Linked DNA regions of Anolis sagrei. The protein of the gene in region 1 interacts with the protein of each later gene in a pairwise test. Links are inferred from orthologs where the notes say so. Each region holds a gene or a part of one and is shown on either strand. Other genes may lie near its edges.

The links.
Region 2: the proteins of AGTRAP (region 1) and PITPNC1 interact in binary tests that used the Homo sapiens proteins (3 or more experiments, as listed by UniProt). The two-hybrid records come from large-scale screens. The link is inferred for Anolis sagrei from reciprocal best matches to the Homo sapiens genes AGTRAP and PITPNC1.
Region 3: the proteins of AGTRAP (region 1) and PIMREG interact in binary tests that used the Homo sapiens proteins (3 or more experiments, as listed by UniProt). The two-hybrid records come from large-scale screens. The link is inferred for Anolis sagrei from reciprocal best matches to the Homo sapiens genes AGTRAP and PIMREG.
Region 4: the proteins of AGTRAP (region 1) and MYG1 interact in binary tests that used the Homo sapiens proteins (3 or more experiments, as listed by UniProt). The two-hybrid records come from large-scale screens. The link is inferred for Anolis sagrei from reciprocal best matches to the Homo sapiens genes AGTRAP and MYG1.

What each region holds. Positions count from the first base shown.
Region 1 is NC_090033.1:10,224,849-10,232,519, forward strand, and holds the start of AGTRAP (type-1 angiotensin II receptor-associated protein), read right to left. Parts: upstream 3,353-7,671; 5' UTR 3,191-3,352; coding exon 3,164-3,190; intron 1-3,163. Other genes in the region: draxin, read right to left, coding at 7,105-7,217. UniProt on the Homo sapiens protein: Appears to be a negative regulator of type-1 angiotensin II receptor-mediated signaling by regulating receptor internalization as well as mechanism of receptor desensitization such as phosphorylation.
Region 2 is NC_090022.1:180,381,886-180,389,935, reverse strand, and holds the start of PITPNC1 (cytoplasmic phosphatidylinositol transfer protein 1), read left to right. Parts: upstream 1-4,487; 5' UTR 4,488-5,269; coding exon 5,270-5,329; intron 5,330-8,050.
Region 3 is NC_090031.1:28,578,036-28,586,169, reverse strand, and holds the start of PIMREG (protein PIMREG), read right to left. Parts: upstream 3,394-8,134; 5' UTR 3,318-3,393; intron 1-3,317. UniProt on the Homo sapiens protein: During mitosis, may play a role in the control of metaphase-to-anaphase transition.
Region 4 is NC_090022.1:190,944,797-190,952,750, forward strand, and holds the start of MYG1 (MYG1 exonuclease), read right to left. Parts: upstream 3,487-7,954; 5' UTR 3,472-3,486; coding exon 3,190-3,471; intron 1-3,189. UniProt on the Homo sapiens protein: 3'-5' RNA exonuclease which cleaves in situ on specific transcripts in both nucleus and mitochondrion. Involved in regulating spatially segregated organellar RNA processing, acts as a coordinator of nucleo-mitochondrial crosstalk.

The DNA.
Region 1 (7,671 bases):
AATAGAATGATCTAATATGATAATAAATATAATAATAAATAGAATGATGATAAATATAATAAATATAATATACCGTAATAATTATAATGTATAATATAATATAATAAATATAATATTAATGAATATAATAAATATAATAAATATACAGTAATAATAAAATGTATAATACAATAAATATTAATGAATATAATACATATAATATTAATGAATAAATATAATGATATAATATGATAATAAATATAATAAATATACAGCAATAATGAAATATATACTACAATAAATATTAAATAATATAATTAATATAATATTAATGAATATAATATATATAATGATCTAATATGATAATAAATACAATAATAAATAGAATGATGATGTATATAATAAATATAATATACAGTAATAATTATAATGTACAATACAATAAATATTACATAATATAATCAAAATAATATTAATGAATATAATAAATAGATTGATCTAATATGATAATAAATATAATAATAAATAGAATGATGATAAATATAATATACAGTAATATAATATAATAATATAATTATATTATACTATATAATAATATAATATAATATAATATAATAATATAAGTATAATATAATCAATATTAATGAATATAATACATAGATTGATCTAATATGATAATAAATATAATAATAAATAGAATGATGATAAATATAATAAATATAATATACAGTAATATAATATAATAATATAATATAATTATATTATACTATATAATAATATAATATAATATAATAAGTATAATATAATATAATCAATATTAATGAATAAATAGATTGATCTAATATGATAATAAATATAATAATAGAATGATGATAAATATAATAAATATAATATATAGTAATATAATATAATAATATAATATAATTATATTATACTATATAATAATAATATAATATACTATATTATAATAATATAATAAGTATAATATAATATAATAAATATAATATTAATGAATATAATAAATATAATAATAATCTAAGAAATATAATATAATAATAAATATAAGAAATATAATTTAATCTAATCTAACAATAATATAATAATATTAATACTAGCAATAATGTCCCCAAAAACAAATGTTACGACTAAATCGGGCTTGCCTTGGTCGCTGCAATTCATTGAAAGCAATGACTCACGGCGACTCAAAGGTAAACCATAAACAACATCCTATTTTCCTTGGGTCACTTCTGGATGCTTCAGCTCATTCGCACGGCCGGCCGGCCGGGGATTTATCAAGTTGCATCACACGAGGAAGGAAAGAAAGGAGAATCACAAGAATGCCTTGGGAGCCGCTTTCGGTTGAATTTCAAGGCCGCGCCAGCATCTTCCCCATTTTTGGACTATTTTGCAAAATGCAGGAATTTCCAAGCATTCGGCAGCTTTCGGTTTTTCCATTTCGAAATTGCTTTTCTAGCATTTGCATGGCGTACGGTGACCCCATTAATATAATAATAATAATAATAGTTATTGTTGTTATTACTTTTGAAAACTTTTCCTACCTCGTAACATTGATTTACAAGGACATGCAAGCTGTGCCCCTTATAATGGAGAGAGCGAAAGTAACTTCTCTAAAACCCTATGGGACAGCCAAGGTTTTTCCCCTCCATCCTGGTGCCTCGCACTAGGTAAAACTCACAATTATTAACTGCCCCCCCTGCACACTCGTTTTTAAATACTTGGTGCTTCATTGGTCTTTTACACAATTGTTGTTGTTGTTGTTGTTGTTATATTTATTTACACACTTCTGTGAGCCTTCCCTTATATGCAATCCCTTTGCACAATCCTGGTGCACACTCACCTTACACTTCCGTCAACTCTTCTCTTGTAGATAATCCCTTTGCACAATCATAGTGCACACTCTTCCATTGACCCTTCCCTTGTAGACAAGCCTCGTGCACAAATCATAGTGCACACTCCCCTTACTCTCTTCCATTGACCCTTCCCATGTAGACAAGCCCCTTGCACAATCATAGTGCACACTCCCCTTACTCTCTTCCATTGACCCTTTTCTTCCTGTGCACAATCATAGTGCACACTCTCCTAAAACTCTTCCATTGACCCTTCCCTTGTAGACAAGCCCCTTGCACAATCACAGTGCACACTCCCCTTACTCTTCCATTGACCCCTCCCTTGTAGACAAGCCCCATGCACAATCACAGTGCACACTCCCCTACTCTCTTCCATTGACCCTTTTCTTCCTGTGCACAATCATAGTGCACACTCTCCTAAAACTTCCATTGACCCCTCCCTTGTAGACAACCCCCTTGCACAATCACAGTGCACACTCCCTACTGTCTTCCATTGACCCTTTTCTTCCTGTGCACAATCATAGTGCACACTCTCCTAAAACTCTTCCATTGACCCCTCCCTTGTAGACAACCCCTTGCACAATCACAGTGCACACTCCCTACTGTCTTCCATTGACCCTTTTCTTCCTGTGCACAATCATAGTGCTCATTCTTCTAAAACTTCCATTGACTCTTCCCTTGTAGACACCCCCTTGCACAATCATAGTGCACACTCCCTACTCTCTTCCATTGACCCTTTTCTTCCTGTGCACAATCATAGTGCACACTCTCCTAAAACTCTTCCATTGACCCTTCCCTTGTAGACAAGCCCCTTGCACAATCACAGTGCACACTCCCCTTACTCTTCCATTGACCCTTCCCTTGTAGACAAGCCCCATGCACAATCACAGTGCACACTCCCCTACTCTCTTCCATTGACCCTTTTCTTCCTGTGCACAATCATAGTGCACACTCTCCTAAAACTTCCATTGACCCCTCCCTTGTAGACAACCCCCTTGCACAATCACAGTGCACACTCCCTACTCTCTTCCACTGACCCTTCCCTTTCCATGCACAATCATAGTGCACACTCTCCTAAAACTTCCATTGACCCTTCCCTTGTAGACACCCCCTTGCACAACCATAGTGCACACTCTCCTAAAACTTCCATTGACCCCTCCCTTGTAGACAACCCCCTTGCACAATCACAGTGCACACTCCCTACTCTCTCCCACTGACCCTTCCCTTCTATGCAACCCCTTTGCACACTTCCCTTTCACTCTTCTGTTGACACTTGTAGAAGACCCCCCTTTGCACACTCGTTGTTGCACGCTCACCTTGAGGTTGACAGAGGGGACCTCCATGGTCCTGGGCTTCCTTCTTGACTTTCTTTCTCTTTCTTTCTCTTTCTTTCCTTTCCTTTCTGGTCAGACCCGGGTTCTGCTTTGCTTTGCTTTTCCGCTTCTGCTTCTCTCTGCCTGGGGCTCCTCCCCACAGCCAGCCTCATGACTCCTTCCCCAGAAATTGAGCAAAAAAAGCCACAGCAGAGAAACTCCTCCCTCCACTCCTTCCTTCCTTCCCTCCAAGGGAAGAGGACTCACTCTGCAAGTGTAGACAGGAGGGGAACCTTAATGCGAATTAAAGCCCCCCCCCCTGGTTCTGGGTTTGAGTGCAGACAGAGTGACACTCTCTCAGCCTCAGGAAAGGAGGGCATCACTGACATGCTAAATAATATTAAATAATAATAATAATAATAATAATAAAAAAAATAGTATAATATTCCCATTTCAATAATAATAATAATAATAATAATAATAATGCTAAATAATATTAAATAATAATAATAGTATTATATTTAATATTATAATATAGTATAAAATAGTATAATATTCCCATTTCAATAATAATAATAATAATAATGACATTAAAATATTAAATGATATTAATTAATCGTAATAAATACTAAACTACTCCCATTTAAATTCTAAATAATATTTAATAATAATAATAAATATAATATTTCCATTTCAATAATAATAATAACAATGACATTAAAGTATTAAATATTAATAGTAACAAATACTATACTAGTCCCATTTAAATTCTAAATAATATTTAATAATAAATAAATATAATATTCCAATTTCAATAATAATAATAATAAACAGTATACTATTCCCATTTAAATTCTAAATAATATTTAATAATAATAATGAGGATGACATTAAAATATTAAATGATATTAATTAATAGTAACAAATACTATACTGTTCCCATTTAAATTCTAAATAATATTTAATAATATAATATTCCAATTTCAATAATAATAATAATAATGACATTAAAATATTTAATAATATTCCCATTTTAATTATTATTATTTACAATAATAATAATAAACAGAATACTATTCCCATTTAATTCTAAATAATGTTAAATAATAATATAGTATTCCAATTTCAATAATAATAATAATAATGACATCAAAATATTAAATGATATTAATTAATAGTAATAAATACTATACTATTCCCATTTAAATTCTAAATAATATTTAATAATAAATAAATATAATATTCCAATTTCAATAATAATAATAATATATAATAATAAACAGTATACTATTCCCATTTAAATTCTAAATAATAATAATAATAATAATATAATATAATATTCCAATTTCAATAATAATAATACTTAATAATAACAGGATAATATTTCCATTTCAATAATAATAATTTATAATAATAATAAACAGTATACTATTCCCATTTAAATTCTAAATAATATTTAATAATAATTGTACAGAAGTGTTTATAATAATATGCGTATAACTGTATTTATGTTTGCATTGGTTGCCCTAAGGCTGGAGCGGCCTAGCTGTGAGAAATGTGTTACCATGGAAACGAGGCAGAAGAGGAGGTGGGAGGAGCTTAGAGAGTAAAGGTTTTAAAAAGTGACAGTTAGAGTCAGTCAGGGGAGAAAGACTCTGAGAGAGCAGCAGAGTCAGTTTTAGACTCTGAGGAGTGAAGAAGTGAAGAGCCAGGTTTTAGTGTTCGTGAATAGTAGAGATTTCTTCAGCTGGACCTTAGGGAAGGCTGAGCGAAGGAAGATCGATGCTTTTGAGCTGTGGTGCTGGAGGAAAGTGCTGAGAGTGCCTTGGACTGCGAGAAGATCCAACCAGTCCATCCTCCAGGAAATAAAGCCCGACTGCTCACTGGAGGGAAAGAGACTAGAGGCAAAGTTGATGTACTTTGGCCACATCATGAGGAGACAGGAAAGCCTAGAAAAGACAATGATGCTGGGGAAAGTGGAAGGCAAAAGGAAGAGGGGCCGACCAAGGGCAAGATGGATGGATGGCATCCTTGAAGTGACTGGACTGACCTTGAGGGAGCTGGGGGTGGTGACGGCCGACAGGGAGCTCTGGCGTAGGCTGGTCCATGAGGTCACGAAGAGTCGGAGACGACTGAACGAATGAACAACAAGGAAGCTGAAGGGGAAAACCTTGTTAGTTGCTTTAGTTAGAAAGAACTAACAGAGGCTTGCTAGGATCGCTAGTCGGAGAAAGACTGGAGATCTGTGATTTGATCAAGTATAGATCAAACAGAAAGACCATTCATTGCAGGGAACACTGGTTAATAAAGCGCTTCACCACAGCAAGAGTTCATAAGTTGTAACATCGAAAGTCTGAATTGTATCGCAACCAAGTTACATGTAACCATCAAGTATTTGCCAAGCTTAACATCTTCATACTGCAACCATACGCTTTGTTTAAAAATAAACTTGTTCTCTTTGGTTTTTAAAACTGCCTCATCTCCATTAATTCTACGTTCGGTGCACCCACTCTACCAAAATTACCTCACAACACAAACAGAGCTTTAATACCAGAGCCTTTTACAAATCAGTGGCTCCTCTCTCCTAAATCTAGGCGCTTCCTCACTAGTCGGTAGCGTCTCTCTACAATTGGGTGGCAGCTTCATTACCAGTGGCGGAGGTTCTTTACAATAATAAATATAATATTCCAATTTCAATAATAATAATTTATAATAATAATAATAATAAACAGTATACTATTCCCCTTTATATTCTAAATAATATTTAATAATAGTATAATATTCCAATTTCAATAATAATAATAATGACATTAAAATATTAAATAATATTAATAGTAATAAATACTATACTATTCCCATTTAAATTCTAAATAATACTTAATAATAATAGTAGAATATTCCAATTTCAATAATAATAATAATAATAATAATGACATTAAGTATTAAATATTAATAGTAATATATACTATACTATTCCCATTTAAATTCTAAATAATATTTAATAATAATAATACAATATTCCCATTTAAATAATAATAATAATGATATTAAAATATTAAATGATATTAATTAATAGTAAGAAATACTATACTATTTTCATTTAAATTCTAAATAATATTTAATAATAAAAATAATATTTAAATAATAATAATAATATATAATAATAATAAACAGTACACCATTCCCATTTTTAATTCTAAATAATATTAAATAATAATAATAATAAATATACTTTTCCCATTTAAATTCTAAATAATATTTAATAATAATACAATATTCCAATTTCAATAATAATAATAATAACATTAAAATATTAAATGATATTAATTAATAGTAATAAATACTATACTATTCCCATTTAAATTCTAAATAATATTTAATAATAATAATAAATATAATATTCCAATTTCAATAATAATAATAATAATAATAATAATATATTACAGTATACAATTCCCATTTAAATTCTAAATAATATTTATTAACAATAAACAGTATATCTCCATTAAATTCTAAATAGTATTAAATAGTATTTAATAATAATAATAAATAATATTAATATTTCCATTTACATTCCAAATGCTATTAAATAATAATACTAAATAGTATAACACTGCCCTTTAAATTCTAAATAATATTAAATAATAATAATAAATAGTATAATATTCCCATTTAGATAATAATAATAATAAATATAGTAAAAATAAATAGTATAATATTCATGTCGAACCATGAGGACTAGAAACTTAATTCTTTTTTAGGATCCGAAAGCCAAGAAGGAAGACAAGCCGGTGTGTGCGAAGGATAGCTATCTCTTTATTTATTTACAAATAGGAAACAGGCCTAAAAGGGGGGACGGGGACGAGGGGTCCGCACTGCAGAACTGAAGCAGAACTGAAGTGGTTTGGTTCCTCTGTGCGGACGGACGGAGGGGCGGACGAGGCCTAGGTGGCCATGAAGGAGCCCCGGTCGGGGTCGGCCGAGCCCGGTTCCAGGCAGCGGCCCCTGCGACGCGTCACTCGCCGGTTGCGGTGGAATTTGGCAAAGCAGCGCAAGCCTGGAAGGAAAGAAAGAAGGAAAGAAGGAAAGAGAAAGAGAGGAAGAGTGACAAAAAGGAAGCATCCCCAGAAGAGACGGAGGAGGGAAGGAAGGAAGAAGGGGAGGATGGATGGAAAGGTAGACAGATGGGTGAAGGAAGGATAGAGGGATGGAAGAAGGGGTAGATGAATGGATAGATAGATAGGTGGATGAATGGAGAGAAGAAAGGAAGGAAAAATGGATGGACAGATGGATGGATGAAAGATAGATGAATGGATGGATGTAGGAAGGAAGGAAAGATGAAATATGGATGGATGGATGAAAGAAGAAAGGAAAGATGAAGGATGGATGGATGGAGGGATAGATGAAAATATGGGTAGGTAGATAGATAGATAGATAGATAGATAGATAGATAGATAGATGAATGGATGGATGAGGGAAGGAAGGAAGAATGGGTGGATCAATGGATAGAT
Region 2 (8,050 bases), on another chromosome or scaffold:
CACACACACACACACATATGGTGGTGGGGTGGGGGTTGCACCATACATTGTAATGCATTTTTTATTTTTATTTATTTGGCTTTTTAAGCCTCTTCTGCTGTGTCTTTCAGTGTTTTTATGAGTGATGGTCACTTGTTGGCCTGATAGGTGTATTGTGTCCAAATTTGGTGTCAATTCGTCCAGTGGTTTTTGAGTTATGTTAATCCCACAATTTTCCCTGATTTTCCAATAAAAGTCTCACCAAGTTGAAGAAAATGCCACCGAGACGCTGGCCCAGTTGGGCAACCAGGAACTGTGGAACTCCCTGCTGCAGGTCAGATCGGTTTCAAGCCAGGGGCTCCTGGCTGGCACGCCATTAAAATAACCATTGGAGAGCCCTGTAATTACACATAGTTCCAGAATTAGACAGATGCTGTTAATGTTAAACAAAAGGGAAATGGGTGAGGTTCTTGTACCCTGTTCTTGTATATCCCATGTTTGTCCTTTCACTTCTGTATAGTAAATTTCTTTCTGAAGCATTTTGTGCCTACTATTGGAAAAAAATATTCTCATTTATTTAAGACATGTATATCACATTTCTTTCTAGCAGCTCACTTAAAATAATGAGTTTGAACTGCTGGCAGGAATGATTTGCTAATAAGAGCTGTCTTGCACATCATGCTGGAATGTTGCATAAGAAAAATGAAAGCCAGCCGAAAAGCACTGTATTTTTCAGCTTCAAACTTTGCTCAAAAGATTGCCCAAGAATGGCTGCGGTTGATAAAGCCTCATTTCACCTTGTCCTTATGCTTTTTTCTCCCCAGAGCAATGTCAATGGCTATTTTCTTCCTGTGTGTGAGTCCTTGGATCTGGCCCAATACAAATAAGACAAATATATTTTAAAAAATCTCGCCATCTGTTTACATGGCACTTTTCAGAGAACAAGTTTGTCAAGTTCCTGTCTCAGGGGACTTTGCAGTTTATAAATAGATGCACAGGAGGGGAAAACCAGTCAGAAGAAGGGAAACAGTCTGGTTGAGGTTATCAATGATTACGGTATTTCATTTACAAGTATGTTAAGTGCGAAGTGGGATTTTTGGGAAATAATGGGGCTCCCTCTTGGAAGCAATTCCAAATATTAAGGCACATTGGGGAAGAAGTAGCAGAGTTGTTTCAAGGAACAAGAGAACTGATGGCTGAGGTTGATAAGGCTTATTGGCTGATGTTAAGGGATGTGCTGGGCGGAAAACTAAATCCAGGGGAAAATGGAATGATTAAGGATATTTTTTTCCTCTCTTACATTGCCATATAATACAGATTAGCAAAGCAGTTTTTTTTTGTCGTGTCAGGATCGACCTGAGAAACTGCAAGTCGCTTCTGGTATGAGAGAATTGGCCGTCTGCAAGGACGTTGCCCAGGGGACGCCCGGATGATTTTGATGTTTTGTCATCCTTGTGGGAGGCTTCTCTCATGTCCCTGCATGAGGAGCTGGAGCTGATAGAGGGAGCTCATCCGCCTCTCCCCGGTTTCGAACCTGCGACCTATCGGTCTTCAGTCCTGCTGGCACATGGGTTTAACCCACTGCGCCACCGGGGGCTTCAGCAAAGCAGATAATCCACATTCTCTACTTTGAACAGGATTATATGAGTCTACACTGCCATATAATCCAATTCAAAGCAGATAGCCTGGATTTTATATGGCATTATAGAAGGGGCCTCAGATAATCCAGTTCAAAACATATAATGTGCATTACCTACTTTTATAATCTGGATTATATGGCAGTACAGAAGGGGCCTCAGATAATCCGGTTCAAAACATATAATGTGCATTACTTGCTTTTATAATCTGGATTATATGGCAGTGCAGAAGGGGCCTGTGTCCCTTCCAACTAAGGCCCCTTCCACACAGCTGAATAAAATCCACATAATCTGCTTTGAACTGGAATATATGGCAGTGTGGACTCAGATAACCCAATTCAAAGCAGATATTGTGGGATTTTCTGCCTTGATATTCTAGGATATAGGGCTGTGTGGAGGGGCTCTTTGTGTTGCTCTGGATTCCTTTGCTGGTGATCTGTGTATCATCATGAGATTCCCCCCTCCCCTCCCCAATGACTAATTTACATTTGCTTGAATGCTTCTGGAGATTGAGATTCCAGAGCTGCCAATTTCATTATCATTTATCAAGATACACTTCTTTGTTATCAAGACATTCCTCAGGGCAGTTGCAGCAGATTTATGTATGAAACACCTTACCCTGCAGGCCTGAAAAATGATTTGTTAAGATAATTGCCAGTGTGGTCTGAATTACTAGTGACTGATTCATGTAAAAAAGAAAGATGATTTGGGGTGCATCCAGGGTAAAGGTAAAGGTTTTGCCTGACATTAAGTCTGGTTGTGTCTGGCTCTGGGGGGTGGTGCTCATCTCCATTCCTAACCAAAGAGCTGACGTCCAGAGACACCTCCTAGGTCATGGGGCCACGGAAAACCATTACCTTCCCGCCAAAGCAGTACCTATTGCTCTACTCACATTTGCATGTTTTCAAACTGTTAGGTTAGCAGAAGCTGGGGCTAACAGCGGGAGTTCACCCTGCTCCCCAGATTCAAACCGCCGACCTTTCATTCCGCAAGTTCAGCAGCTCAGTGGTTTAACCCGCTGCGCCACTTTCTACACTGTGGAATTAACACCACTGTAGCTGCCATGGCTCAAAGTTAGGGAATCATGCACCAGCACCAGGCCCATAGCCAGGATTTTGTTTCGGGGGGGGGGGGGGGGCTGAATTTTTTCAGGGGGGGTTTCGGGGGGGGGCTGAGTTTCGGGGGGCTGAGTCTGAGTGAAAGAGGGTCTACCCTAGCAAACCTTTTGTATCATTACCCCAATAACCCCATGCATATGGGATATATTGAGTATGGTGATCAGATCATGATATGAATAAACATAACAGTTTAAATAATGCACCAGTAAGGCCTTTTCGCGAACCACCATCAGAATTTCGGGGGGGGGGGGGGCCTGAAGCCCCTCAAGCGCCCCCCCCCCCCCCGCTACATGCCTGACCAGCACTATTTGGCAGAGAAGACGAAGGCCCCTTCTACACTGCCATATAATCCAGATTATCAAAGCAGATAATCTACATTATCTGCTTTGAACTGGATTATATGAGTCTACACTGCCATATAATCCAGTTCAAAGCAGAGAATCTGGATTTTACATGGCTGTGTAGAAGGGGCATAAGTGCAACTCCCAGGATTCCCTTGGATTGAGCCATGGCTTTCAAAGTGGTATCAATCTGGATTAATTCCACAGTGTAGATGGAGTCCCGCAGTGGTTACCCTTTCAACACTGTGAGCTGCTATTGAAGTATTTTCACATTGCTAATTTCACGTGTCGAGATTGATTTAACCGTCGTGATCGTATTTCCTTCTATTAACCTGCACAATGTTTTAGTGGGACTCTCTGCCCCGGAGTGTGGTGGAGGCTCCTTCTTTGGAAGATTCCTCTCACCTCTTCAGGAGTCTACCGTATACCACGCAGCTGTGGACAAGTCTACATAGGGACCACCAAACGCAGCGCCCAAACAAGAATCCAGGAACATGAAAGGCACTGCAGACTACTCCAACCAGAGAAATCAGCCATAGCAGAGCACCTGATGAACAAACCTGGACACAGCATTTTATTTGAGAACACAAAAATGCTGGACCACTCTCACAACCACCATGTCAGACTACACAGAGAAGCCATTGAAATCCACAAACATGTGGACAATTTCAACAGAAAGGAAGAAACCATGAAAATGAACAAAATCTGGCTAACAGTATTTAAAAAATTCTAAAATTGCAACAGCAAAAACAGCAGGGAGAAAAACAGGCAGGGACATCTAATCACCCTTCAAGAAGAGTTTGCTCCAGGCACAGTCAGCCCATTGTATGCTAATCAAGGTGGGCAGTTGAAAGATTCACACCCAGCCCAACTTACAAAAGCCTTTTGTCTCACCCTGGTCATTCCACAGATATATAAACCCCTTTTTTCCCAGCTCCAGCAGACCTCACCTCTGAGGAAGCTTGCCATAGATGCAGGCGAAACGTCAGGAGAAATGCCTCTAGAACATGGCCATATAGCCCGAAAAAACCCACAAGAACTTTTAAACAGAGGTGGATGGCCATCTGTCAGGAGTGATTTGAATGCAATATTCCTGCTTCTTGGCAGGGGGTTGGACTGGATGGCCCATGAGGTCTCTTCCAACTCTTTGATTCCATGATTCTATGCTTTTACATTCATACTGTTTGGAACGACTTCTGGTTTCCCTTATGCCAGTTTCAACTGTTTGGGTTTTACTCAATGGCGTGACATTGGTGTTCGGGAACACCACTAAAATCATCCTTTGATATTGATGGTGTCTGACTACAATTTGCTTCCACTTTGCTCACTGGCTCCTGAGCAGGGACATGCTGTTTTGTTTAAAAGGCTCGCATTCTTTGCGGTGCCATTTCCCTATTGGCCGGATGGGGCCATCCTTCCTGCTGTGGCTGCTGATGTCAGAGCCACTCTCTTTCACACACCCTTCCTAAGGTTTGCTGCTGCTGCAGAGACTTCTCAAGGCAACCAGATACAGATCCTTACTACAGGCTGTGGTGGGGAAACCCAGCCCCCAGGAATGATCAAAGGTGGGAGGAAGAGCCAAGGCACATCCTGTCTCTTTCCCTTCCAGTGCACTAATGCTGGAGGTTGAAGTACAGTAAGGTGAACAGAACCTTGTTTACCCATCTGGGAAGGAAACCTTACAAAGCCTTTGTCTTGGAAGTCAGCAGCATCTCATCTCTGCCGCTGGCTGATCCAGTCTCCTGCCACTACTGCTGATACTACCATACCATCTTGGACTGCTTCAGCTATTTTTACTTATTTTTTTCCCCTATTGCTCCAAGAATGTCTTGATAGAACTGCGAGGAAATTCCATCTTTTACAAGGTTTCTCGTGGATTCCTTTGAATTCACAATGAGAGCAGTTTATCTTTGAGACTCCTTTGTGTTTGTGGAAAAAAACCACATGACTACATTTTGAAGCAGAAAAATAGGAAGATAGAAGAAATAGGATTTTTTTCCTCTCTCTCTCTCTCATTCTCCCTTTTGCTGGATCAGCTTTCTAGATAGTGGCAGCGGCACATTGCACATACGCTGTCAGGCACACGTACTGCAGGGTGCTGGTGATCTTGGCAATTTTAATATTTTTTGAATATATATATATATCTCAGAGTGCACTGTGATCACATTTCTCCTGGATTGCTGTTTTGCATTGAATGTGTAGGAATATGCTCATGAAGGAGTACCGGATCTGTATGCCTTTGACAGTTGAAGAGGTAAGTGCATTGGCTCCTAATACACTGTGCCTTCCTTAACTCTTTCTTTCCTGCATGTGACCAAAAATGAGCGGATGAAATGCAATTTTATGCTGTGGGATCTTTCTACTGTAATTTAGTAAATTTAGTAAATCATAGCTTGCTTGCAACAGAAAATATGGGCAAAATGAACACAATTACATGGTAGTTGACTGTGTCAGAGGTTTTCTAAAGGTATATATACCAGGCATGAGCAAACTTGGGCCCTCCAGGTGTTTTGGACTTCAACTTCCACAATTCCTAACAGCCGGTAGGCTGTTAGGAATTGTGGGAGTTGAAGTCCAAAACACCTGGAGGGCCCAAGTTTGCCCATGCCCGGTATATAAGCAAACTTAAACATCTGGAGTCATTTGTCATGGCTGATGTGGGCTCAAATTAATGTAATGAGAGTGTATGCAGGTAAACAAAACTTCAATCGCAAAAATAAGCAAAGATAATCTGTTCCCAAAATATGCTCCTTGAATCCTCCAGTGTTTAAATATATAGTTTTGTTTCTCGAGTTTTGCTTACCTGATATTCTCAGTTGGCTTACGCTCTCTTTGTCACATTTTTAATGTGGTTTTTTTAGCATATTTTTCTGAAACAATGTGCCATCTACCTTGTGAATACTACAATACATTTCTAAAACTCTCTACTGAGAGTGGCTGCTGAAGAAACAGATAAAACAATATAAAAGTGAATATAAAGATCATGGTATTTCACACGCAGAAGATGGAATCAGTTACAGTTTTAATGTCTTATGAACTACCTTCTGAGAATAAACTTTGGATACTATCCACATCGGGTCAACTCCTCTCTTGTTTTAGGGCAAGTTGATTGTTCCTTGACTTTAGAGAAGTCTTGACAACAAATTGTTGTGCTTTTTTTTTAATGGCGATCTAGTCAAAATCCTGAAAGTTTCTTTTCTGCTATAATTTTGGGTAATACACAAAATGCATTCAGTTTCTTTTCTTATTGTTTCAAACATACTTCAGTCCACAAGGTGGAGCTTTGGACATGTTTTTCCATTGAGAGTTTTGTTCCTACCTTGTGCTTGATAAGAATACCACAGCTGGATTGCTTGCTGCAGATGTCTAACTGGAAAGGTTAAATATACAATTGCATTGCATAGAGCACACATTGGAAACCTGGTGGTTCTGAGGACTTGTAATGTTTTTGCTGTTACAAGAAAAGTGATACAATGCACGAACGCTGTCTTTCAAAATATGTTTTTATTTAAATGATAACACAGAAATGCAAATGTCAATATCCCAAGGCATTCTGTTTTGGGTTGTTGTAGGTTTTTTCGGGCTATATGGCCATGGTCTAGAGGCATTCTCTCCTGATGTTTCGCCTGCATCTATGGCAAGCATCCTCAGAGGTAGTGAGGTCTGTTGGAACTAGGGAAAAGGGTTTATATATCTGTGGAATGACCAGGATGAGACAAAGGACTCTTGTCTGCTGGAGCTAGGCGTGAATGTTTCAACTGACCACCTTGATTAGCATATAATGGCCTGACAGTGCCTGGAGCAAACTTTTGTTGAGAGGTGATTGGATGTCCTTGTTTGTTTCCTCTCTGTTGTTGTGCTGTTGTGATTTTTGAGTTTTTTAATACTGGTAGCCAGATTTTGTTCATTTTCATGGTTTCCTCCTTTCTGTTGAAATTGTCCACATGCTTGTGTATTTCAATGGCTAGATGCAGGCGAAACGTCAGGAGAGAATGCCTCTAGACTATGGCCATATAGCCCGAAAAAACCAACAACAACCTAGTGATTCCGGCCATGAAAGCCTTCGACAATACATTTTGTTTTGATCTTATCTGCTTAATTCCTACCCATAATTCAGTGCCTCTTGAAATAATTGCTAATCTTTGGGTTGTGAACTAGCAAATTGTTCCTTTGAATTGTTGTACATGTGTATTTAAGTGTACAGTTAATTCTCCCTTCACAGTTCATGATTATCATTTCCTTGGCAGCCAAACCGTCCCTCTAGTTTTTAAGATGTATTCAGATAATTGCATAGAAATTGGTATTTAACAACTAATAATAAGGTTACACCATTTGTTAACGTGTGTCTACCTTAGTCTTGTATGGAAAGTTGGCAGGTTTCAAGAACACCCTCTAGGGCAGTGTTTCTCAACCTTCCTAAACCCGCGACCCCTTAACACAGTTCTTCATGTTGTGGTGACCCTCAACCATAAAATAATTTTCGTTACTACATCATAATTGTCATTTAGCTACTGTTATGAATCGTCATGAAAATATCGGATCTGCAGGATGAATTTTCATTCACTGGACCAAATTTGGCACAAATACCCCATACGCCCAAATGTGAACACTGGTTGAGTTTGGGGAAAATAGACCTTGATATTTGGGAGTTGAAGTCCTAAACACCTGGAGGGCCCAAGTTTGCCCATGCCCGGTATATAAGCAAACCTAAACATCTGGAGTCATTTGTTTGGAGTTGCTGGGATTTATAGTTCATCTACAATCAAAGAGATTTCTGAACTCCACCAACGATGCAATTGAACCAAACTTGGCACACATGTCTCCTATGACCACAAAAAACACTAGAACAGTGGTTCTAAACCTGGGGTTCCCAGATGTTTTTGGCCTTCAACTCCCAGAAATCCTAACAGCTGGTAAAGTGGCTGGGATTTCTGGGAGTTGTAGGCCAAAAACATCTGGGGACCCCAGGTTGGGA
Region 3 (8,134 bases), on another chromosome or scaffold:
TTCTGGTCCCTAATAACAGCGCTCCATGCAGTCATGCCGGCCACATGACCTTGGAGGTGTCTACGGACAACGCTGGCTCTTCGGCTTAGAAATGGAGATGAGCACCACACCCCAGAGTCAGACATGACTGGACTTAATGTCAGGGGACTACTTTTACCTTAATAATAGCTGCCTTAGGTCACAATCTATAGAAAAACATTATTATTATTATTATTATTATTATTATTATTATTATTATTATTATTATCATCTGAAACACCACGAGATGAGTCCACAGCAGACACTCTGCCGACTGTTGTATTGGATCACACGTCGGACACTTCCCAAGTGTCTAGGACTGTGTGATGTATCGGCAAATAATGCGTGCAGATCCCAGTAGGGTGGCCTTTTCCAGCTGGCAGGTGACGGATGGTAATTTTGTCAGCGCTGATTGTGCTTGAGTGCAGGCCAAGGTCTTCAGGCACTGCACCCAGTGTGCCAATTATTATTATTATTATTAGAAACACAACAAGATGAGTCCACAGCAGACAAGATCACTCTGCTGGCTGTTGTATTGGATCACATGTCGGACACTTCCCAAGTGTCTAGGCACTGCACCCAGTGTGCTGATCACCACTGGGACCACTTTGCATCTCAGTTGAGAGAAACATAGAGTAATAATAATCTATATAAATAAAAATGTAATGTTTGTTTGTGGGATTAACAGAACTCAAAAACCACTGGATGAACTGACACCAAATTTGGACACAATAAACCTCTCAGACCAACGAGTGACCAACACTCATAAAAACATTGAAGAACACAGCAGAAAAGACTTTAAAAGCCAGAAAACAAAAAAAAAAAACACATTACAATGCATGCGCAAAACCACATATCTATGCAAACACATATATATACACAAATATAAACACACATATATGCATATATACACACACAAAGCAAATATACACGGGAAGGGGAAGAAAGGAAGGAGAGAAAGAGGGAAAGAAGGAGGGAAGGAGAAAATGAAGGAAAGAAAGAAAGGTAGAGAAGGAAATAAAAAATGAGAGAAGGAAGGAAAGAAAGAGGGAAAGAAGGAGGGAAGGAGAGAATGAAGGAAAGAAAGAAAGGTAGAGAAGGAAGGGAGAGAAGGAAATAAAAAATGAGAGAAGGAAGGTAAGAAAGTGGGAAAGAAGGAGGGAAGGAGAGAATGAAGGAAAGAAAGAAAGGTAGAGAAGGAAGGAAGAGAAGGAAATAAAAAATGAGAGAAGGAAGGAAAGAAAGAGGGAAGGAAGGAAGGAAAGAGACAAGGAAAGAAGGAACCAAAGAGCAAAGGAAGGGAGGAAAGAAACAGGTAAGAAGGAAGAAAGAAGAAGGGAAAGTACAAGGGGAAGAAAAAGAAGCAAGGAAGGAAGGAAGGAGAGAAAGAGGGAAGGAGAGAATGAAGGGAAGAAAGAAAGGTAGAGAAGGAAGGGAGAGAAGGAAATAAAAAATGAGAGAAGGAAGGTAAGAAAGTGGGAAAGAAGGAGGGAAGGAGAGAATGAAGGAAAGAAAGAAAGGTAGAGAAGGAAGGGAGAGAAGGAAATAAAAAATGAGAGAAGGAAGGAAAGAAAGAGGGAAAGAAGGAGGGAAGGAGAGAATGAAGGAAAGAAAGAAAGGTAGAGAAGGAAGGGAGAGAAGGAAATAAAAAATGAGAGAAGGAAGGTAAGAAAGTGGGAAAGAAGGAGAGAAAGAAAGAAAAAATGAGAGAAGGAAGGAAAGAAAGAGCGAAGGAAGGAAGGAAAGAGACAAGGAAAGAAGGAACCAAAGAGCAAAGGAAGGGAGGAAAGAAACAGGTAAGAAGGAAGAAAGAAGAAGGGAAAGTACAAGGGGAAGAAAAAGAGGCAAGGAAGGAAGGAAGGAGAGAAAGAGGGAAGGAGAGAATGAAGGGAAGAAAGAAAGGTAGAGAGGGAAATAAAAAATGACAGAAGGAAGGAAAGAGAGAGTGAAGGAAGGAAGGAGACAAGAAAAGATGGAACCAAAGAGCAAAGGAAGGGAGGAAAGAAACAGGTAGAGAAGGAAGAAAGAAGGGAAAGTACAAGGGGAAGAAAAAGAGGGAAGGAAGGAGGGAGGGAAAGTAGGAAGGAAGGAGAGAAAGAAAGAAAGAAAGAAAGAAAGAAAGAAAGGGAGGGAGGGAGGGAAGGTTGGCCACAGCAACATGTGGTGGGTAAAGCTAGCAATAATAAGAATAAGAATAAGAATGTATACATCTATCAATACACATAATAAAAGTGAAAATGTGTGTGTGTTTGTGTGTGTGGGGCGTCCATTTTGACATTGCAGGTTATAGTGAGCGCCGTAAACATGTCCAAGCAGAATTGATCAACAACTGAACATACTAGAGAGGTTTGGGGAGAAGTCACCATGATTGATAGGAATTGTAGGTCCTGGGATGTATAGTTTGCCTGCAGTCTAAGAGCACTCTGAACAAGACCAACAATGGATCTGGAGCTCACTTGGCACACAGAACCCCCCTGACCAACCAAAAATAACTGGAGGTATTTGGAGAGATTGAGAGTTGTAGTTCACCTATATCCAGAGTACACTACGAACCCAAACAAGGATGGATCCGGACCAAACTTGGCCTGTGTACCCGATGTGCCCGCATTTGAATACTGGTGTGTTTTGAGGGGAACTGGCCTGGACATTTTGGAGTTGTAGGTACTGGGATGTATAGTTCGCCTGCAATCAAGGAGTACTCTGAACTCCACACAAGATGGAATTGGACCAAACTTGGCCCACAGAGCTCCCATCACAAGCAAACAATACTGGAGGTCTTTGGGGAAAATTCACCTTGATTTGGGGGAGTTGTAGTTCACCTACATCCAGAGCACACTGTGAACCCAAACACTGATGGATCTGGACTAAACTTGGCACACAGACCTGATATGCCCAAATTTGATTGCTGGAGGGGTTTGGGGAAAACTGACCTTCCTTTCTGGGAGCTGTAGTTCACCCACAACAAAAGAAACTGTGACCTCCACCAATGATGGACCTGGACCAAACTTAGCACACAGAATCCCCATGACTAACTCAACCAACTGGAGGGGTTTGAGGGCAGTGACTCACCATAGTGGGAGTTGTAGTTTACCCTGCACACTGAACCCCACCCATGATGCACCCAGAGTAAACTTGCCCAACATCACAAACTCCAAGTACTGATGGAGTTTCAGGGGGTTATATACACAATGAAGACAAAGTAAATAAACTTTTCCAAACTCTGCTGCTTGGAGGCTGCTTAATTTGCATGCAATTCACGTTTCCTAATTGCAATTAGGGGAAAACATGAGTGGACTCACCTTGTTTTCTTGCAAAACTGGCGCGCCCACTCTCTTGCTTTGCTGAAGTTCAAACTAAGCCCCGCCCCCTCCCTTGCGCTGCTCTGATTGGCTGCTCGCCTTAGGCCCGGGCTCCTCCCCCTCTCAAGCTGCCCCTCCCGCGCCGGCGCTCTTCCCTTGGCTAGATCTATGGGCACGTGCTCTCTGCCTCCCTCCAGTGGTCATATTTGAGCACTGCAGCGTGCCATGTCTTTTCTGTGTCTTTAGATGTTTACTTACTTATTTTGTTGTTTCTTCTCTTTCCGTTTTGATTTCCAAATTTTGCACTCTATTTTCTATTATTATTATTATTATTATTATTATTATTATTACTGAATAAGACTTGAGTTTTCCTCTAACTTATTATTATTATTATTATTGAATTAATAGCATTAAATTTATTATTAATTGAACTTGCTGGTCCCTTCCAACATTATTATTATTATTATTATTATTATTATTATTAGTGTTTGGACCTTCTAGTCCCTTCCAACATTATTATTATTATTATTATTATTATTGATTGGACCTTCTGGTCCCTCCCTTCCCACATTATTATTGCTATTGTTATTATTATTATTATTATTATTATTATTATTATTATTATTATTATTATTGGACCTTCTAGTCCCTTCCAACGTTATTGTTATTATTATTATGGATTGAACCTTTTGATCCTTTCCAACAGTATTATTATTTTTATTGATTGGACCTTCTGGTCCCTTCTAAAATTATTATTATTATTATTATTATTATTATTATTATTATTAATTGAAACTTCTGGTCCCTTCCAACATTAATAATAATAATGATGATGATGATGATTGAACCTTCCAACAATATTGTTGTTGTTATTATTATTATTGTTATTACTGATTGGACCTACTAGTCCCTTCCAACATTATTGTTATTATTATTATTGATCCCTTCCAACAGTATTATTATTATTATTATTATTATTATTATTATTGATTGGACCTTCTGGTCCCTTCCAAAAATATTATTATTATTATTATTATTATTAATGATTGAATCTTCTGGTCCCTTCCAACATTAATAATAATAATAATAATAATAATAATAATAATAATAATAGAACCTTCTGGTTCCTTCCAACATTATTGTTGTTGTTGTTATTGTTGTTATTGTTATTATTGTTATTATTATTATTATTATTATTACTGATTGGACCTACTGGTCCCTTCCAACATTATTGTTATTATTATTATTGATCCCTTCCAACAGAATTATTGTTGTTGTTGTTGTTGTTGTTGTTGATTGGACCTTCTAGTCCCTTCCCACATTATTATTATTATTATTATTATTATTATTATTATTATTGGGCCTTCTGGTCCCTTCCAAAATTATTATTATTATTATTATTATTATTATTATTATTGGGCCTTCTGATTCCTTCCAACATTAATAATAGTAATAGTAATAATAATAATGACTGAACCTTCTGGTCCCTTCCAACATTATTGTTGTTATTATTATTATTATTATTATTATTATTACTATTATTATTGATAGGACCTTCTGGTCCTTCCAATGCTATGATTTGATATTACTGTTGTTGTTGTTGATTATCTATTGTGGCCCACATTTCTATACTATTATTCTTATCGATGATGTGTATATCATTCTCTATAACAGTATTATAATAATAATTGTTGTTTTTGATTTATGGAACTGGCATTGCTTGGATTAGGTATTTTCTGATTCCATTAATTATTAATAGTTATTGTATTGTCGAAGGCTTTCATGGCCGGAAATATTGGGTTGTTGTGTGTTTTCCAGGCTGCCTGGCCATGTTCCTAAAGCATTCTCTCCTGACGTTAAGCGTGCATCTGTGGCAGGCATCCTCAGAGATTGTGAGTATTTTATTATTATTAAAATGGACTATCCCCTCTCTATCACCCCCTAGTGGCGTCTGCCTGTATAATGGAACAGTACCTATTATTAAGCCCCCCCCCCCCTTGGTGGTGCAGCAGGTTAAACCGCTGACCTGCTGAACTTGCCGACCGAAAGGTTTATGGTTCAAATCCAGGGAGCAGAGTGAGCTCCTATTGTTAGCCCCATCTTCTGCCAACCTAGCAGTTCAGAAACATGGAAATGTGAGTAGATCAATAGGTACGGCTCTGGCGGGAAGGTAACGGCGCTCCATGCAGTCATGCTGGCCACATGACCTTGGAGGTGTCTGCGGACAACACCGGCTCTTCAGCTTAGAAATGGAGATGAGCACCAACCCCCAGAGTTGGACACGGCTAGACTTAATGTCAGGGGAAAACCTTTACGTATGCCTCTCTATCGCCTCCTAGTGGCCTCCACCTGGATAATGCAACAGTACCAAAAAACACACAGTTTTCAGTGACTGTTTTTATTTTGGGACTTATTCCGTCCAGTACAACATCCTGAAATGACTGAGCTCCTCAACCGTCCCTTGACGAACGCAAAAGGAATGGAGGCAAAGCAGCGTCCCTCCCAACTGAGACCCGAAGGACCGGATGTCGAATCACTCTCGGTATCATCCGTCCGTCCGTCCGTCCCCGCCTCATCCTCGCGTGCTTCAGAAAGGACGATGCCAAGAATAACTTGAATAACTCCACAGGAACACACTTTTCCTCTTTGACTCATTGGCTGCTCATTTTCAAAGCTTGCAAGATGTCCACTAGAAATTTCAGCCTTTTGTTCCTGTGTAATCCCACTCACAGAGTTACTGGACACCTCATCGCTGGCCTCTGCTCCAATGACAGTATCTAAGTCGGCTCTTGTGTGAGAGCTTTGGATTGTGTAGGGAAGGGTATGGGTTTTCTTTTTTTGCTCCTAATGCAGTGTTTCTCAACCTTCCTAATGCCGCAACCCCTTCATACAATTCCTCATGTTGTGGTGACCCCCAACCATAACATTATTTTCATTGCTACTTCCATAATTGTAATTTTGCCACTGTTCTGAATCGTCATGTAAATATCTGATCTGCAGGATGTATTTTCATTCACTGGACTGAATTTGGCACAAATGCCCGTTACACCCAAATTTGAATACTGGTGGAGTTGGGGGGTGGATTGATTTTGTCATTTGGGAGTTGTAGTTGCTGGGATTTATAATTAACCTACAATCAAAGAGCATTCTGAACCCCACCAATGATAGAATTGAACCAAACTTGGCCACACAGTACTCCCATGACCAAGAAAAAATACTAGAAGGGTTTGGTGGGCATTGACCTTGAGTTTTGGAGTTTTAGTTCACCTACATCCAGAGAGCACTGTGGACTCAAACAATGAAATATCTGGACCAAACTTGCCACAAATACTCAGTATTCCCAAATGTGAACACTGGTGGAGTTTAGGGCAAGTAAACCTTGACATTTGGGAGTTGTAGTTGCTGGGATTTATAGTTCACCTACAATCAAAGAGCATTCTGAATCCCACCAATGATAGAATTGGGCCAAACTTTCCACACAGAACTCCCATGTTTTGAAGGGTCTTGCTGGCCTGAGCCTCCCTCCAGTCTTGCATGATCTCCCTCGCCTGCACATGCGCACCATGCTTCTATGCACTGAGCACACCTGCTCTCCCCTCCTCGCATGGTGTGTCAGAAACAGCCCTCCCATTATCTGAGAGGCTGGCCAATCACAGCAAAGAAGGGCTTTTGGTGGAAAAGAATGACAGGCGGAGAGATCTTCAGCTTTCTTTGCCAAGGGAGTTCCAAAGACTATCAGTACCATCAGACCATCAGCAGCCCCCTCACAGCCTCCCCCCAGGGTTTGCGACCCCCAGATTGAAAAACTTTGCTATAGAGACTTATATCATTACATATGTGCATTTTCAGCATCCTGTGATAAATAGAAGTGGGTCAGGGGAAATCTTTAATGAATGCCCCTTGTATAACTCCAGCCAAGTATATCCATAGTACGCATCAATTGAAACCGATCCTGTGTAATCCCACTCACAGAGTTGCTGGCCACCTCGTTGCTGGTGTCTACTCCAATGAGAGTATCTAAGCCAGCTGTTATATGAGAGCTTTGGATTGTATAGGGAAAGGTTTGGTTTTTTTGCCCCTAATGGAAAACCCACAATTTGGTGCTGCCTGGAAGCACCCTGAGTTAAAGGTCCCATCGGTACCAAAATCAAGTGTTGTTTCAAAATTGTCTATCGTTGCCGCCGTCGTACTAAAGTCTGCGTGGCTTGAGCATTGGGTGACGACGCCGGGACGCTCTCCTTGGCTCCTCGTTGGGGTGACCCAGCCTCCTTTGTATGGATAATTGTCCTCTGAAACCCTCTCGCGACCCCCCCCCCCCCCGGGTCGCAACCCCAGATTGAGAAACGCTGCTATAGAGACTTATATCTTTACACATGTGCAGTTTCAGCATCCTGTGATAAATAGAAGTGGGTCAGGGGAAATCTTTAATGAATGCCCCTTGTATAATTCCAGCCAAATATATCCATAGTACGCATTCATTGAAACCGATCCTGTGTAATCCCACTCACAGAGTTGCTGGCCACCTCGTTGCTGGTGTCTACTCCAATGAGAGTATCTAAGCCAGCTGTTATGTGAGAGCTTTGGATTGTATAGGGAAAGGTTTGGTTTTTTTGCCCCTAATGGAAAACCCACAATTTGGTGCTGCCTGGAAGCACCCTGAGTTAAAGGTCCCATCGGTACCAAAATCAAGTGTTGTTTCAAAATTATCTATCATTGCCGCTGTAGAACGAAAGGCTGCGTGGCTTGAGCATTGGGTGACGACGCCGGGACGCTCTCCTCGGCTCCTCGTTGGGGTGACTCAGCCTCCTTTGCATGGA
Region 4 (7,954 bases), on another chromosome or scaffold:
GATTTCCAGTAGTTCTGCTGTCATTGTTACGATGATTTTTCTTAGGTCTTCTTGTGTCTCTTCTTGTATATTCCGGAATCTTAGGAAATATTCTAATTCTTTCTGTTCAGCTTGGTCTAGTTTTGCTTCAATCTTCTCCTCTCTTATTTCTATGTCTTCTAGCTTGCGGTTGATTTTTTCTTGTGTTTCTTCCAGTTTAGCTACATCTAATTGATTTTTTCTCATTTCCTGTCTCATGGCATCCATTTCTTTTTTCATTTCTCCCAGTTCGTTTGTGATTTCTTTTCTCATTTTTACCATTTCCTCGGTCAAATCGTTCTTAAGTCTCATTCTTTGATCTTCTGCAACCTTTTGATAGGCATCTTGTTTCTCTTGATTTGCTTCTTGTTGCTCCAGTATCTTCTGTATTTCCTTTAATATCTCTTTTCCTGTTGGGTTGCCGGATACTGATCCTCTTCTTTGTTCTGTTGGTTCAGTCTTTTCTATTTTATCAGTTTTGTCAGTTTTTTCGATTTTATCTGTCTTGATCTTGGGTGTTGTCATTTTTAGCCAGTTCTTCAAAGCTCCTCTTATATATATTTTGGCCTCCGTTTTGGTAAGTTTGAACCTATTTTCGTAGGCTTATCTGGGAGCAGTATATCTGAGGTTGCAGTTGTTCTGTATTTTTTTTTTGTATTTATTTTCCTGTTTGTGGTTTTTTTTATTTTATTTTATTTTATTATTATTATTTTTTATTTTTTATAATATTCGGTTATTATTGTTTTGTTATTATTATTGTTATATATGTGTGTATATAAGTATATGTATTGTTTTGAAGTTTGGAATATATGACAGTGTATCTTGAATCTGCTGTGTCTGTTGGTGTCTGCTAATTCCTTCCTTGTTCCTGGATTCTTGCTCTTCTCTCGTTTTTCTATACTTTACTAGCTCTATCTTAGGTTCCTTGTTCTTTGTTCTTTATTAGTCTCGCGATTCCTGCCTCTCTAGGTTTTCCTGTCTTTCGTTTTACCATCCTGTGGGAGGCTTCTCTCAGGTCCCTGCATGGGGAACTGGAGCTAGACAGACAGGAGCTTACCCCGCTCTCCGGATTCAAAATGCCAACCTGTCGGTCGATTAGTCCTGCCAGCAGGAGGGTTTAACCCATTGTGCCACCGGCGGCTCCTTGGCCATCTCCAAAAGACTATGGAACGACCTGCCAGAAGAGATTCAACAGCTAAATCAGCTGTTGGGATATAAGATACAGCTGAAGACCCATCTCTTCTGGCAGGCCTATCCAGTCAATTTTAAATGGGGAATTTTAACTTGCATGTTATTGGTATTGGTGTTAGTCTTTGTTGTGTGCACTTTAATATGTGTATTTTATAGAACTATATTTTAATATGGGCATTTTATTGAATGTATTCTATTATAATATACTAACCGTCCCCTGCCATGTGTTGCTGTAGCCCAGTCTGTGTATATGTGTTTTGTGTGTCCATTTGTGTATATGTGTGTTTGCATATATATGTGTGTGTGGTTTTGTGCATGCGTTGTAATGTAATTTTTGTTTTTTGATTTTTAAAGTCTCTTTTGCTGTGTTTTCCAGTGTTTTTTTGTGAGTGATGGTAACTCATTGGCCTGATAGGTGTATTGTGTCCAAATTTGGTGTCAATTCATCCAGTGGTTTTTGAGTTATTTTAATCCCACAAACAAACATTACATTTTTATTTATTTAGATATGTGTATATGTGTGTGTTTGTGTATGCATTGTAATGTAATTTTTGTTTTTTGGCTTTTTAAGTCTCTTCTGCTGTGTCTTTCACTGTTTTTATGAGTGATAGTCACTCGTTGGCCTGATGGATATATTGTGTCCAATTTTGGTGCCAATTCACCCAGTGGTTTTTGAGTTATGTTACTCCCACAAACGAACATTACATTTTTAGTTATATAAATTCTGTGTTATGATCAAATGATGTGAATGAATAATTTTTGTATCACTACTATTATTGTTGTTATTATTGTCACGTTGTCCATTCATCCTGTGGTCTCTGGTCATTCTGCCTTCCCTCCCACAATCAGGTATCGCTGTAATGGTCTATCATACATATTTGAGCATTATCGGATGTGCATCACAAGCCTGTATGATGAGCCATTTTGTCCTATCTGCAGGTTTACACCTATTTGGTATATCAGCGTCATCATCCTTATTCTGGAGCCCCCGGTGGCGCAGTGGGTTAAACCCCTGTGCTGGCAGGACTTAAGACTGACAGGTCGCAGGTTCAAATCCGGGGAGAGGTGGATGAGCTCCCTCTGTCAGCTCCAGCTCCTCATGCGGGGACATGAGAGAAGCCTCCCACAAGGATGATAAAAACATCAAATCATCCAGGTGTCCCCTGGGCAACATTCTTGCAGACGGCCAATTCTCTCACACCAGAAGCGACTTGCAGTTTCTCAAGTCGCTCCTGACACGACAAAAAAAAATCCTTATTCTGTGTCTGGTGGACATAGAGACTTCTGGACCAACATCAATGCTGCAAAACTGCTTTTCATAGTAGCTGTCAGACAGAATAAGAGCATGATGGCCAAGATCTTACATCCCAAAGGGGGAATGTGTATTTCCACCAGTTGTAACTGTATCCAGGCCCCAGAAGCCATGAGATCCTATTAGTGTCATAGAACGAAGGCTTTCGTTTCCCAATTGCCAAGTTTGCTCCTGCAGAATTCTGGGAAATGTAGTTTAGGGAAGCCAAGGACCTCTCTGGCTGAGAATTCCAAAGCCTTCTCCCTGGACTACATTTCCCAGAATTCTGCAGGAGCAAACTGGCCAATTGGGAAATGAAAGCCTGTGTTCTATGACACTAATGCGAACTCCTTGTGTCCTTCGCTTTCTGGCAATTCAAAGTGCACAAACTTTGATTCACGCACAAATCGATTAAGAATATTGTGAATGTATGAAATTACATACAAGCTACATGACATAAGTGAATCAATGGATTTCACATTTAGAATTAGGTCTTCCCCCCATTATGTGTGTGTGTATAGAGTGAGTAATTCTGGCCTACGATTCCCATTGCCCCTTGCGCGCATTTCTTCCTTAGGAAGCACAGCCAGCTGGCCCCGAGGAATCATGGGGGCTGTAGTCCCACCGCTCTTCTCCACTCTACGGCGACAGGGGCCGGCTGTTTGCAAAGCGGGGAAGAGGCTGCGTACCTGGTAAGCGGGCAGGAGCCGGAGGAGGAAGCAGGCGAGGGCCTCGTCGCAGTGGAAGGTGCCGCTGTGGGTCCCGATGCGGGCCGGGTGCGGGCGCTTCGGGCCCGGCATGGAGAGGCAGAAGCGGCGTGGAGCTCCGACCAGAAATCTGAGCATGCGCATAGCGAGGGAGGCCAAAGCCACGCCCCGCGGAAGGTCCAGAACCCCTGTGACGTCAGAAGCAGCCAAGAGGGCAAAGAGAACAAAAAAAGAGGCAGCGGTGGCGCAGAGAGTTAGAGCCATGCGGTCATTCCTGGCCTGCAAGGTGGCAAGTTCGCAAGTTCGAATCCCGCTGGGGACCACCTTTAAATTTGTTATTCTAAAATACACATTTAGAGAGCTATATATACCGCCCAGCGTTATAGAACGGAGACAATCGGAGTTGCTCCTGCAGAATTCTGTGAAATGTAGTTCAGGACGGAGACCTTGGCATGCACAGCTAGAGAGGTGCTTGGCTTCTTTAAACTACATTTCCCAGAATCTGCGGGAGCACGTCAGGCGCTAGACCCAGCAGGGGGCTGAGGTTCGCGCTGACGTCATGCTGAGCCTACCTAAGCCACCTGGGCACGTTCCTATTAGAGCTAACGCTAGCAGATGTCATGGTCCTCAAACACTCTCGGCTTCATTCGGAAAAAGCTGCACTCGCAGAGCTCAGGCGGTGTTGTATTTTGGTGTCGATATTGACTTTGGTGGAGCGGTGGCTGCCAAGGTAGCGGAAATGGTCAACATTTTCTAATGTTACACCATTAAGCTGTATCAGTGGCATTGGAGAGGGATTGGCTGAAGACTGCTGGAAAGCTATTAATAAAACTATTGTCCTCGCAACCCTGCTATACGCTTGCGAGATGTGGACTGTCTACAGACGTCACATGCAACTCCTGGAACAATTCCATCAGCACTGCCTCCAGAAAATCCTGCAAATCTCCTGAGAAAACAAGCGGACAAATGTCAGCGTGCTGGAAGAAGCAAAGACCACCAGCGCTGAAGCGATCGTCCTCTACTCCGAACTCAAGAACAGAAAACTGAATGTTGGTGGGCAGGAAAAGAAATTCAAAGATGGGCTCAAAGCCAACCTTAAAAACTCTGGCATAGACACTGAGAACTGGGAAGCCCTGGCCCTTGAGTGCTGTTTTCAGCTGTGACCAGCAGTGCTGCAGAGTTTGAAGAGGCACGAATGGAGGGCGAAAGAGAGAAACGTGCCAAGAGGAAGGCGCATCAAGCCAACCCCAACCAGGACCACCTTCCACCTGGAAACGGATGCCCTCACTGCGGGAGAAGATGCAGATCAAGAATAAGGCTCCACAGTCACCTATGGACCCACCAGTACATTGCTCTTGGAAGACTACCCTACTCAGACAACGAGGGATCGCCTAAGAAAAGAAAGGCTAATGCTAGCACGTGATTACGCAGATGCATAGGCAAGCCTATGTAGAGAGCTGGAAGAAGAAACAGTAATAGTTTGATAGTGTTATACTGTTTCCGCTTTGCTCCTTCGAGAGCTCTGTTTGCGCAACGCAGAACAGAACACATGACCGAGACAGAGACTGAGGTACTGTAAGCCAGGCTGAACATAGATATTATAGAAGGAATGTAAGAGTTCTTTAATGGTAAAACCCTAACCCTAACCCTTACCCTGAGCCTCCCCTCCTTTCTATCCTTCCACCAAATGCAACTATGAAGTATATTCGTATGGCCAGCTGCGACCATACCTCGTGAAGTCTGACTTGTCCATGGTGGTCCACGCCTTAATTACCTCTAGACTGGATTACTGTAATGCACTCTACATGGGGCTACCCTTGAAGATGGCCCAGAAACTACAACTTGTCCAACGTTCGGCAGCCAGATTAATAACTGGTCGACCCCCATGTTTAAGGAGCTCCACTGGCTGCCGTTTATTTTCCGGGCCCAATTCAAGGTGCAGGTTATCACCTACAAAGCCCTAAACTGTTTGGGACCCACCTACCTTTGTGACCCTATATCCCTCCATGAACCAGCCCGGGCCCTTCGATCTTCAGGGGAGGCCCTCCTTTCACCCCTGCCAATCTCACAAGCTCATCTTGTGGGCACAAGGGAGAGAGCCTTCTCCTCTGTCGCTCCCTGACTTTGGAACTCACTACCTGGAGAGCTCAGGAAAGCCCCTACACTAGAAACGTTTAACATAAACCTTAAAACCTGGTTCTTCCGCTGCGTCTTTGGCGAGTAGGTACACAAATTGACACTATTGTTCCCCTCAACGCTTCTGTCACTGGAGTACACGCCCCCAAACGGAAAGTTTAGTTTTACCTCCCTGTGTGTCTTTATGAGCTCCCTGCAAATTACTTGCTCCTATTTTTATCTCATTAAGAGTATTTTAACGTTTTATCCTGTACATGTGGCCCACTCACTGTTACTGTGATTGTGTTTATTGTAATGTTATTTTGTTACTGTATTCATATCGGGTTTTTTTCTTATGTAATTTTGATGATGTTGCTTGTTTATGCTTTGGTTTTATTTTGCTGTAATATGTTGTTTGGGCTTGGCCCCATGTAAGCCACTCTGAGTCCCCATTGGGGAGATGGTGGCAGGGTATAAATAAAGATGATGATGATGATGATGATTATTATTATTATTACTACTACTACTACTATATTCAGTGTGCCGCTCTTCCCGCTCTCACTCCGCCCCTTCTCTGGGCCATGTGGTCCCTTTCCTTATTCACAACCACTGTTGCGGAATGTGCATAATGCTGAGCTTCCAGACCCATCTATCATACCAGTATGAAGATTCCCCGTAGTATCCTATAGATGTGAGAGCTGGACCATAAGGAAGGCTGAGCGAAGGAAGATAGATGCTTTTGAACTGTGGTGCTGGAGGGAAATCCTGAGAATGCCTTGGACCGCAAGAAGATCCAACCAGTCCATACTCCAGGAAATGAAGCCAGACTGCTCATTGGAGGGAAGGATAGTAGAGACAAAGATGAAGTACTTTGGTCACATAATGAGAAGACAGGAAAGCTTAGAGAAAACAATGATGCTGGGGAAAATGGAAGGAAAAAGGAAGAGGGGCCGACCAAGGGCAAGATGGATGTATATGGTATCCTTGAAGTGACTGGCTTGACCTTGAAGGTGCTGGGGATGGCCACAGCCAACAGGGAGCTCTGGTGTGGGCTGGTCCATGAGGTCACGAAGAGGCAGAAGCGACTGAATGAATAAACGACGACGTAGATTTCAGGATAGCTCTGGATGCAACTTCTGCATCCAAAGGGGTTTCCCCCCAAGGAAAAAGAGAATTAGCATTAATATCCATGAGAAAAGGGAGATGAGAATGTGGATCCTGAATGGAACATGATCTGCGGTGTTGATTATGTAATTCTCCCCTAACTTTTCTGACATTAAATCACTTGAGAACTGGATTACCAAAAATGAACTAGTAAAACTAGTAAAAGGGAGGAACATGTCAGCATCACCCAGTTATTGACAAGTGCATTATGGAGATATAAAACATATTTTTTAATTTTTATTTCCATTTTACTGTTTAATGCTTTAGGACAAATCCTACCATTAGTAGACCCTCAAACTAAGTGTTGACTTCACAAATCCTGTTTAATCAATGGATCTGTGCCACTTGGAAATAATTGGAGTTAGTCCCAGTGGCACAATGGGTTAATCCCTTGTGCTGGCAGGACTGCTGACTGCAAGGCTGGTAGTTCAAATTCGGGGAGCGGGGTGAACTCCCATCTGTCAGCTTCAGATTCTCATGCAGGAACATGAGAGAAGCCTCCCACAGGATGGTAAAACACGTCCCCTGGGCAACGTTCTTGCAGACAGCCAATTCTCTCACACGAGAAGCAACTTGTAGTTTCTCCCGACACACAAAAAGCCCATAATGTTTAGTATTGTCTTGCTTCAGTCTATTTGAGCATACCATCCTGAAATCCATCCACTTCTGAATCAATATAAACTATTTACATTTTAAAATATTTTTATCACAAGAAAATTGATAGTGTGACCTTATATGAATTTACTTGTTCCTCTGGACACCTCTCAGCCAAGAATGTGGAGGACTGCAGTGTAAATAAATCGCACTCAAATGATTGTGTTGTCACAAAGCAATACATGTTTATTAATAAGGTAACAGCATATTACACTTACAACTTATGAAAACAGGATTCAATCATTCCTTATCATGTCAATAAAGCTCTGGATTTTTTTTATATTATATCTTCTCTTTTATCCATTAGAAAAAAGCCCAAAGATGTACAAAGGAATAAAAAGATAGCAATCACCTCTATTCTTCATCATCAGAACTACTATAATTAAATATAGATTTGTCTCTTTAAATCATTCCACTGATTTTTTTAATATAAAGTGCATTGCATGGCCATTTAAATTACACAAGGCAACAAACAAGAGATGATTTGTGTTTCACATTTGGAAAGAAGCTACTCCTCTTGCACTGTATGTGTCTGTAGATAGATAGATACATGTTTGACGTTCACATGCAGAGTTGGGGGAAAAAATCCAGCATCTCTCAAAAAAGAGCAGCTTTCAAATGTAATTGTTCTTAAAATGTCTAAAATCTAATTGGGTTTTATAACAGAACATTGTCAACTTATATTAAATTGCTATTTACACATTGAATTAAGCCACATAATCTGGTGCAAATTGTTCAGCATAGGCGTTTCTAGCGAATTTAATGTATGGGCTAAGTATCAAAAGCACTCACCCCATTTCTTTAGAAAAATATA